2 linked regions of the Xenopus tropicalis genome follow. The protein of the gene in region 2 purifies or fractionates together with the protein of the main gene of each other region. This does not show direct contact. Links are inferred from orthologs where the notes say so. Each region holds a gene or a part of one and is shown on either strand. Other genes may lie near its edges. The genes, in order: itgb1 and itga2.

Region 1 (4,360 bases), on a different chromosome or scaffold from region 2:
TGCCATACTCTGCCTGCCCTACCCTGACTGTGTGTGCCATACCCTCCCTGACCTATGCTGCCTGTGTGTGCCATACTCTACCTGCCCTATGCTGGCTGTATGTGCCATACTCTGCCTACAGTACCTATGTCTGAGGTGTGAAGAAGTGAACAATGGGAGTGATTACAGCCTGAGCCTGAGGTGTGAACACTGCAGGGGGTGAACCATGCAGGTATTAAAAGGTGTGAAAAACACAGGGGATTAAATTTTTAAACAATACAGAGGGATTACAGCCTGAATCTGAGGTGAGAACCATGCAGGGGGCCAGTTAATCTCAGTACTGATACCATTTAATGCTTACTCAAAGGTAAACCATCAAAGCAGCCAGACAGATGGGGGCCACACAGAGGGGGGTCGCGGGCCGCCAGTTGGACAGCACTGCCATAGACCATGGATCCCCAACCTTTTATACCTGTGAGCCACATTCAAGTGGAAAAAGTGTTGGGGAGCAACACAAGCATGGAAATGGTCCCTGGGGGTGCCAATAAGAGCTATAATTGGCTACTTAATAGCCCCTATGTGGACTGGCAGCCTACAGAAGGCTCTGTTTGGCATTATACTGGGTTTTTATGCAACCAAAACTTGCCTCCTTACCAGAAACTCAAAAATAAGCAGCTGCTTTGAAGCCACTGGGAGCAACATCCAAGGGGTTGGGGAGCAACATGTTGCTAAAGAGCCACTGGTTGGGAACCGCTGGCATAGACAGTCACTACTTATTGGCCCGGTGGGGGTGCTACTTTGGCCTTTGCGTACCTGAAATGCCAGGGCCTGATGCTGGGGTACCATTAGAATACGGCGGCACACAGATATTATTGCCACACTTGCCTGACTGGTAAAAATTAGGCTTCATGTCAATGTTATAAATAGATATAAATAAAAATATTGGAAGGCTGGTATTTTTTTCCAGAAAAGGTGGCAACCCTTCAGGCAGATGAACCCTACCCTGGGGATTGCTCGCCTGTGGCCTGAAGAATGAAACAAGAATCAGTAGAAGCGCCCAACAACATACAAACTGCTTTCAGCTACTGACTGCCATCAAACCATGTGGTACCAATAAACTGTACTGTACTACAAGCAAAGCTTATCCCCTGGAGTGTATGCCTATTGAGCTGTGGTACTGGTGCCAAGCTGTGCCAGATATCGGGAAGCGATCCCAGTGCTACTAATCAGACAGTATGGGGCAATAGCCGCCACTACACAGTGGCCATGTGGGAGCCCCTGCCCCCATCCCCCCCCATTCCCACGTAGCCAGTCCCGCCCTCCCACATCCTGACGTCACCGGGCTGGAATGCGCTTCCTGCGGCGCTTCTTGCTCTGGCTGTGCGCGTCCGTGTGAGTGCGGGGGCGCGCTTGTGGTGCGTCAGCGCAGGCTGGGTGCTACTCGGGAGGGGACCGTTACTGAGAGCGGACACTTCATTCAGCGCGCAGACCTGCCTGGGCTCGGAGGCCGCAATCTGAGGCAGCGCTTAGTCTGTGCGATTCAGCCCGGCAGGGCGCCGCTCCTGGGATCCAAGGGCCCCACGCCAAAGGTGAGCCGCCGCTCTGTGTTACCTGCATTCTGGCCCCAGTGTCCGCTCACTTGGTACAGTCTGTGCTTAGGGCATTGCTGCTCCGTATCTGCCTCCCTGTGGGGAATCCATATGGCTTAGAGAAGCCGGGACGTGTAGCAGCTACTTTGCACGCCGGGAGTTGTATTGTTTGTCAGTGATAGGTACAGGGGGGCAGACTTGGGGCTCTACAGCTGCTGGGAACTACTGCATTCACTCGCAGGGGATTGTGGGACTTGTAGTACATGCCACCTGGAGTTTTTCCATTGTGGAGTTTGTGCTTCAGTAGGTAGAGGGTTAATAGAGACTGGGGGAGGGGGTGACCTTGCTTAGGGGCAGCTTCCTATAAACTTTCCTTGTTGTGGGATCCCACCCTTCCAGGGCTGCAGCGCTCTCCCTCCTTAGTTACTGCGCTAATTACATGATCATGTGTGTAGGGGGCTCTGTGTAAGTGAATTGGGTGTCTGGCTGGGACTGTATGTACCCCCCCCCCCATAGAGACAGCAGGGAGTTTCCCTGCAGGAATGTGCACAGAGGGAGGCGGCAGAGGACATCCTGGGAGGGGTGAAGGGGGGGCAGTCTCCTTCTTTCTCTCTTTATTTTTAACAGTAGATCATTACCATAACCATAGATATTATTAACCAGGGCTCAGCCGGCCCACGCTGTCCCCTTTCCCTGTGTGTTCAGTAGGGCGCAGGGTAGTTGTGCCACGGTCACTATAAGTACAATATAGCACTGCTTCATTTGGCTGCTGGCTCCTAACAGAGTCTCCTAAGAGAAGGCGGCCCCCAGGCACGAATAATGGTTTGGCTGACACTGAGGGCACTTATATTGAGTTATGAGTGGGTGCTTGTATGTGGCTTTTTTTATTGAAGCCCGAGCAGCGTTTTAGCCCAGAGGCTTCCGAGGGTGGATGAGTCCCAAAACGTATTCTTGGCAGGGCCGGGTTCAAGGGTGGGTAACAGAGCCTAAATCTGTGCTGGGAACCTTATGAGATTAATGGTGAGGTAATCAGTATGACAAAGGAACTAAAATGTTCTGAAAGCTTGCTGTGATTATCTTAGTTAGCCAATAAAGGTATCGCCTTTATACCACTTTTATTTCTAAAGGGTTACCCTTATAAACATTTTGACTGGCTAACACAGTATATCACCTTTTCCTGCATGGTGAAGATTCAAATATAAATTCATAAAAGAGCTTTTATGAAACTCAGTGTCCCACTTTTCCTATGATTATCTGCCACCCCGGGCAGGCAGGGCCCTTTGTGCAGAGGATCAGGGTAGTCTGGATTATATAGAGGAGCAGCCACATTCTCTTTACAGATACTACACTTCAATTTAGCTGAAAGGACAACAATTACCATTTCCGCCCAGTAGGAGTGTAAAGCCACACTGGGGCTTATTGGCTTTGAGCAGCTGTGCACACAAGGTGCAAATCAGCACTCCCTGTGCCACCAGCACCTTATTTGCACCTTGATGTGACCTGCACATTGTTCATAGGTCCCAAGTGACTCCGTAGTTGTATCTAGGCACTGAGGGTCATTTATAAAATTTGCACAGTGCAGAATTATTCACACAGTGAACGTATTTACTCTACCTGTATTTATATTTATAAAGCTGGACAAGACTGGTGCGTTTAATGGGCAAATATAATTGCGAAATTTTTATTCACAGTGCAAATGCCCTTCAAGTTTTTTAAATATGGCATATTCGTAAATTGCGAATGTTTATGCGCGCAGTCTGTGTCCGCGCTATATTTATTCATAATAAATGGGCACAGAGGGCAAATCGCAGTCTCATTTGCGAATTTTTGTGCGCAATTCACATTTCACTGCGATTTGCATATATCTAGAAGGCATTTCCCTTGTGAGTAGAGGAGGCCATACCGGGCAGATTTTATCTGCCAGTGTGTGGGCACGAACAATGGGTCTGCCCGACCGAGATTTGGCCAATTTCAGGCCAGATGTTGACTGGGCAGGTTTGATTTTTCCGTCGTATCGGGAACCACATTGGCTCGTTGATGTGGCCCCTGTTTTAATTTGAATTCGCCTGATATTGCTCACCCATAGGTGAGTGTATTTGGAGAAGATACGTTTGATTGGTGACCTCGCCATAGAGTGGATCTTACCGTGTATGGCCAGCTTAAAAGTGGTAAAGTGACCCCCCCCTAGACCCTGTCTAAGCTCTAATATGAGCTGTGCTGGTTAACCCAAGATCAAACCTGTATACATCTAATCAAGATGGTGCTACTGAGAATATTCCCTAATATAGGTTTGTGTCAGAGAAAGAGATTTGTCACAGTGATTTATAAGTTAATTATCTGGAATTGTCTCCCCATCTGTGGGCAGCATGTTTTGTTAGGGTTATCAACTACAAATACATACGTTTTTTTCTTTTAGCATAGTGCTATTCTAAGGTAATTTGCAGTTGGTCTTGCATTGGTCTCTGTTTTTTATTTTCGTTCAGCAGATCTTCAGTGTTGAATTTTAGCATCTACCTGGTTGCCAGGGTCCAATTTAAACTAGAAACCAGGCAGTGGTTTGAAAGAGAGAGGGGATTATAGGAGGGCCTTAATAGAAAGATAAGTAATAAAACAATAACAAACTATTGCTCTGTGGGGCTACAGTTTAATTTTTACCTGCTGGGGTCAGCGACCCCCATTTGAAAGCTGGAAAGAGTCAGAAGTGGAAAGCAAATAATTCAAAAACTATAAAAATAAAAAAATCCAGTTGTAAGAATTCAGTTAATCTGAAGGTAAACAACGGCTTTCAGTCC
Region 2 (4,389 bases):
ACTCCACTAACTGGTAACTATATGTTACTGTTCCAGGGTAAACTATTTCATACATTTACATGTAACCCTCTCAGACTTACTATACAGACCCTGTAGACCACAGGCCAGTAGGTACTTATTTATAAGGCACATATATAGTTGTGGGTCTCTACATCGAGCCATAGAATCATGTCTAACAATATACACACCAGCAAGCTGAAACCTCCTCATTATCACTTGACACCCTGGAGCCATGCATTCCACAGGGATGAATCCCAGGCTCAGTGAATGAACAAGCAGAGACATTGCTGGGGCAGGAAAATGTGCTACTCGCCGGCATTAATGCTCTGTTTATGCTCTGCTTGTAACCAAGGATTCATGTAAAGTTGTTTTTTCTCTCCAACCACAAACATATTTGGCTAATGTTAATGTGAAAGTCCTTCCCGCTGCTTATCTAACTGGCCATACAGTATAAACCACATGAATGTAACTTCCGTTTCTCATGTAAATGACACTTATAAAAGACACAAATGCACTGCTATATGGTTAGGTGCTGCACGGCATCTCATTCCCAGGGATAGGGACGGCACACTATTGCATTACAACTGTTAGGATCAATCATTGTCTCCTTTTTTATTGGAATTGAACTTTCAACTAACATTTAGCATGATGGACTGAATCAAGGCAGCTTTTCCAGTTGGTTCTCATTTTTTTTCTCTTCTTCTTGAATATTTTGCATTTTTTTCTCCCTGGGGTGAAATTTAAAGGTGAAATATATAAAGTACTGTTCCCTGCCCTGGGAAAGGTTGTTGGCTTGCTTCAGAAAGACTACTAGAATTTATATAAACTAGCTGCTCTGTAGCCATACGGGCAGCCATTCAAGATGATAAAGGAGAAAAGGCACAGGTTACATAGCAGATAACAGATAAGCTCAGTAAAACACCATGCCCTTCTAAAAACTGCACTGTGTAGGTAAAACCAGACAGGTGGCAACCCTATTTTACATAGGGGAGAGTTGGCTATAGCAAGCCTCTTGTTTGGCTGGATTATGGAATGTGGGGGCACAAGTCTGGGTAGGATTATGAGTGTGTGGGTCTGGGCTGACCCACACAGTCCTCTATAAAGTTATACACACTAAATACCACAGGTCACCAAAATATTTTGTAACTGGCCACACCCCTATTCTACCCAGACCACACCCCATTCCAACCCAGTTAAAGTTAAAGGCTCCCCCCCCCCCCATAGCACTGTGCTTTGTACCATGCACCCACTGTTGGACCAAATCCATCAGATGCAAAGTGCCCTTAGCACTCTAGTAGTTAAATCAGGGAATTTATTATATGAGCTTTCCTATGTCATACAAAAAATAGCAACAACTTTTCTTTAATTTCCTATGTGTTTTGCCTCATATTATTATTATTATTATTATTACATTTATTTATAAAGCGCCAACATATCCCGCAGCGCTGTACAATAAGTGGGTTACATACATTGGACATACAGAGTAACATATAAAGCAATCAATAACCGATACAAGAGGTGAAGAGAGTCCTGCCCAAAAGAGCAGAAAATGGCCAAAATTGATGCAGAAAACAAAAAAATCTGTGTACCAATATCCATTCATTTCCATTCCACTGTATTATACCGACCGTGGGCACAACATACATACATAGGATACTTCCAAGCTGCACTGATAGTACAGACTACAAGAAAGACGTGGGATGCAGCCCGTAGATAAGAGGTTACGCAAAGAATTTTAATGGTCTCCAGAGAACAGAATCAAAGGAACTGTTAACCTCCTACACCCCCCCCCCCCTTGCATTTCTGCCTACATTACTGTGTATCTGGCTCTTAAATTCCACATACTGAATGCTTCCCTGTATATCTCTCACTATATAGTGCTACTGGGGTACACATTGCTGTACAGTCGGGGAAGGGTAAATGATACAAATAGTTACAAATATTACAGAGAGGATATGGAGCTTAGAGACACTGATGCAATGATGTCCCTGCCCTGCAGAGCTTACAATCTGATGTACTGGAAACAAATAAGTTACTGGATATGTGGCACAGTGTTACAGTTCTTTCTGTATATGAAGCCCTTACTTACATTACTTTCATGTTTATAGGGCAAAAAGGGACTACTGTCCTGGGACAGTATTGACTCCACAGATCAGCATTTCTAGGTACAGTAGGGCTGCAGGGTATAGCACTACTGTATGGTGACAGTATAGCTTGCCATATCTACTGACAGCCCTGTGGCATATGGAAATACTGCATTTTGCTCAGTAAACGTATTAGTAATATATAGTAAGAACATAGTTTCCACAATGAACAAAAATTTCCAGAAATATCTTGTCGCTGTGCACCATACAAACCATGCACCAAAATTGGTCCTAATGTACCTGAAGCCTCAGCTACTGCCTTACTATGATCATGGCTACAGCAATTATTATTATTATTAACATTTATTTATAAAGCAATGCAGTTGCCTTTCATCCATTCCCAATTAAGAAAGAGAAGCTACTAAGCTCATATTTCTGGTGATAAGATCAATCATATTCTTCTGTGCAGTTGGTCAAGTTTTAAAACCAAAAGGAGTCCAACCCAGTAGCTGTGGAGACTAGGGAGAGAACTATGAAATAAAGCGAACAGTACTTTGTTGGCTTACAAAGAATTATGGGACATCAGCAGGAAAAGCCCAGGTATTTGGGGGGTTCTATAGTTCTAGATACAGTACATTCTAGACAGAAAGTAGCAAGTATTACAAAATGTTCTGTACCTTGTAGTATTACCAGCAGCAGCCAAGGAATGCAAGTTGTTCTCGCCATCAGCCAAACAATCAGGGACCTTGTTACAGTGAGTTCCAAACTTCTCTGTTCCCAGTGATAATCCCAATGTGCAAAGTGACTCGGCAGGCTGCCCTTGTACAGTATTTATCTACTGGCACAGTCACTGGTCTGGGAGGAGCAGTCACACAGCTAAGCGCTGCTTCTCTACACTTACACTCATGTCTGCAAATACAGCCAGTCCTACCCCTTCCTCCTCCTCCTCCTCCTCACCCACACAACTCTGTCACACTGATAGGGATGAGTGTGCAAACGCTGGAATGCAATCAGTAGCCAATAAAGGTAGGATGTGCCCCAGGATGTGATAGAATTGTGTTTGCACAGACACTCACAACAAGCTAAAGGCAAAGGCAGACAGTGTAGTAGTGCTGCTAGTACAGACAGAAGGGTAGGTATAAAAAATTAAACACATACAAGTACAACGTACAAAAGTAATTGCCATTAGTGATGAGCGAATCTGTCCCGTTTTGCTTCACTGGAAAATTGGTGAAATTACAAAAAATTTGCGAATTTTTTCGATGTGTGTGACTTTTTTGACGCAACTTATTTGACGTGACTGCGACTTATTTGATGTGGCCGTGACTATGTGTATGTCACTCCCACGTGAATCTTTCAAAAGATTTACGAAACTGCGAAAAATTCGCGAAACAGGGAAAATGCTGTGCATCAAAAAAAATTGTTGCACGATAATACGTTTGACGTGCGACAATTCTTTTGACGCGAGAGACAATTCTTTTGGTTGACACGCAATAATATGTCTGTGGCTCGACAATACGGTAGACACGCGACAATATGTTTGATGCAAGACAATTCTTTTTTGATGCGCAACAATGCTTTTGCTACTCGCAACAATTCTTTTGACACTCGCAACAATTCTTTTGACACGGGAGACAATTTTTGGATGCGCGGCAAATTTTTCTGCACCAATTTTTTTCCATTTCACCAAAAAATCTGCCAATGGCGAAACGCGTAAATTCGCTGCGAATCCATGCCTGGTGAATTTTTTTCGCCCATCACTAGATGTGACTGCAACTTATTTGACGCGACTGTGGTTTTTTTGATGTGACCACTGCTTATTTGATGCAGCATTTTCACGAAAAAATTCACCAATGGCGAAATGGGGAATTTCGCAGCATATACATGCCTGGTGAAAAAACATAAAACATAACTTTAACAAATAATTCCATTGTGTTTATTTAATGTTTAAAGAAGAAGGAAAGGCTACATTACTGGGGGCGGTGCTAAAATGTTTGGCACCCCCAGTGACTTTAATCGATTTCTTTTAATCCCAACATTTTTCGGCAGGCATGGATTTGCAGCAATTTTCCATGTTTCGCACAAATTTGCCACGCGACACAAAAATTTTGGTTTTCCGCGTTTTGCTAATTTTTAGCCGTTTCGCGAATCTTTTGCAAATTTCACAAATTTTTTACCGAAACGGGACAGATTCGCTCACCACTATTGCTTACCTGAAACCTGCTGGGGTGTATGCGGGCGAGTGTCCCTTCTTCGATCTTTGCGCATGTGTAGTAGAGTGAAAGCCAACTTTATGTATATATAT

Evidence for each region.
Region 1: the proteins of itga2 (region 2) and itgb1 purify together in Homo sapiens (co-immunoprecipitation; 3 studies listed by BioGRID and IntAct, with this or other methods). This does not show direct contact. The link is inferred for Xenopus tropicalis from reciprocal best matches to the Homo sapiens genes ITGA2 and ITGB1.

Annotation. Positions count from the first base shown.
Region 1 is NC_030682.2:22,870,582-22,874,941, forward strand, and holds the start of itgb1 (integrin beta-1 precursor), read left to right. Parts: upstream 1-1,466; 5' UTR 1,467-1,568; intron 1,569-4,360.
Region 2 is NC_030677.2:192,671,178-192,675,566, forward strand, and holds the start of itga2 (integrin alpha-2), read right to left. Parts: upstream 3,010-4,389; 5' UTR 2,811-3,009; coding exon 2,762-2,810; intron 1-2,761. UniProt on the Homo sapiens protein: Integrin alpha-2/beta-1 is a receptor for laminin, collagen, collagen C-propeptides, fibronectin and E-cadherin. It recognizes the proline-hydroxylated sequence G-F-P-G-E-R in collagen.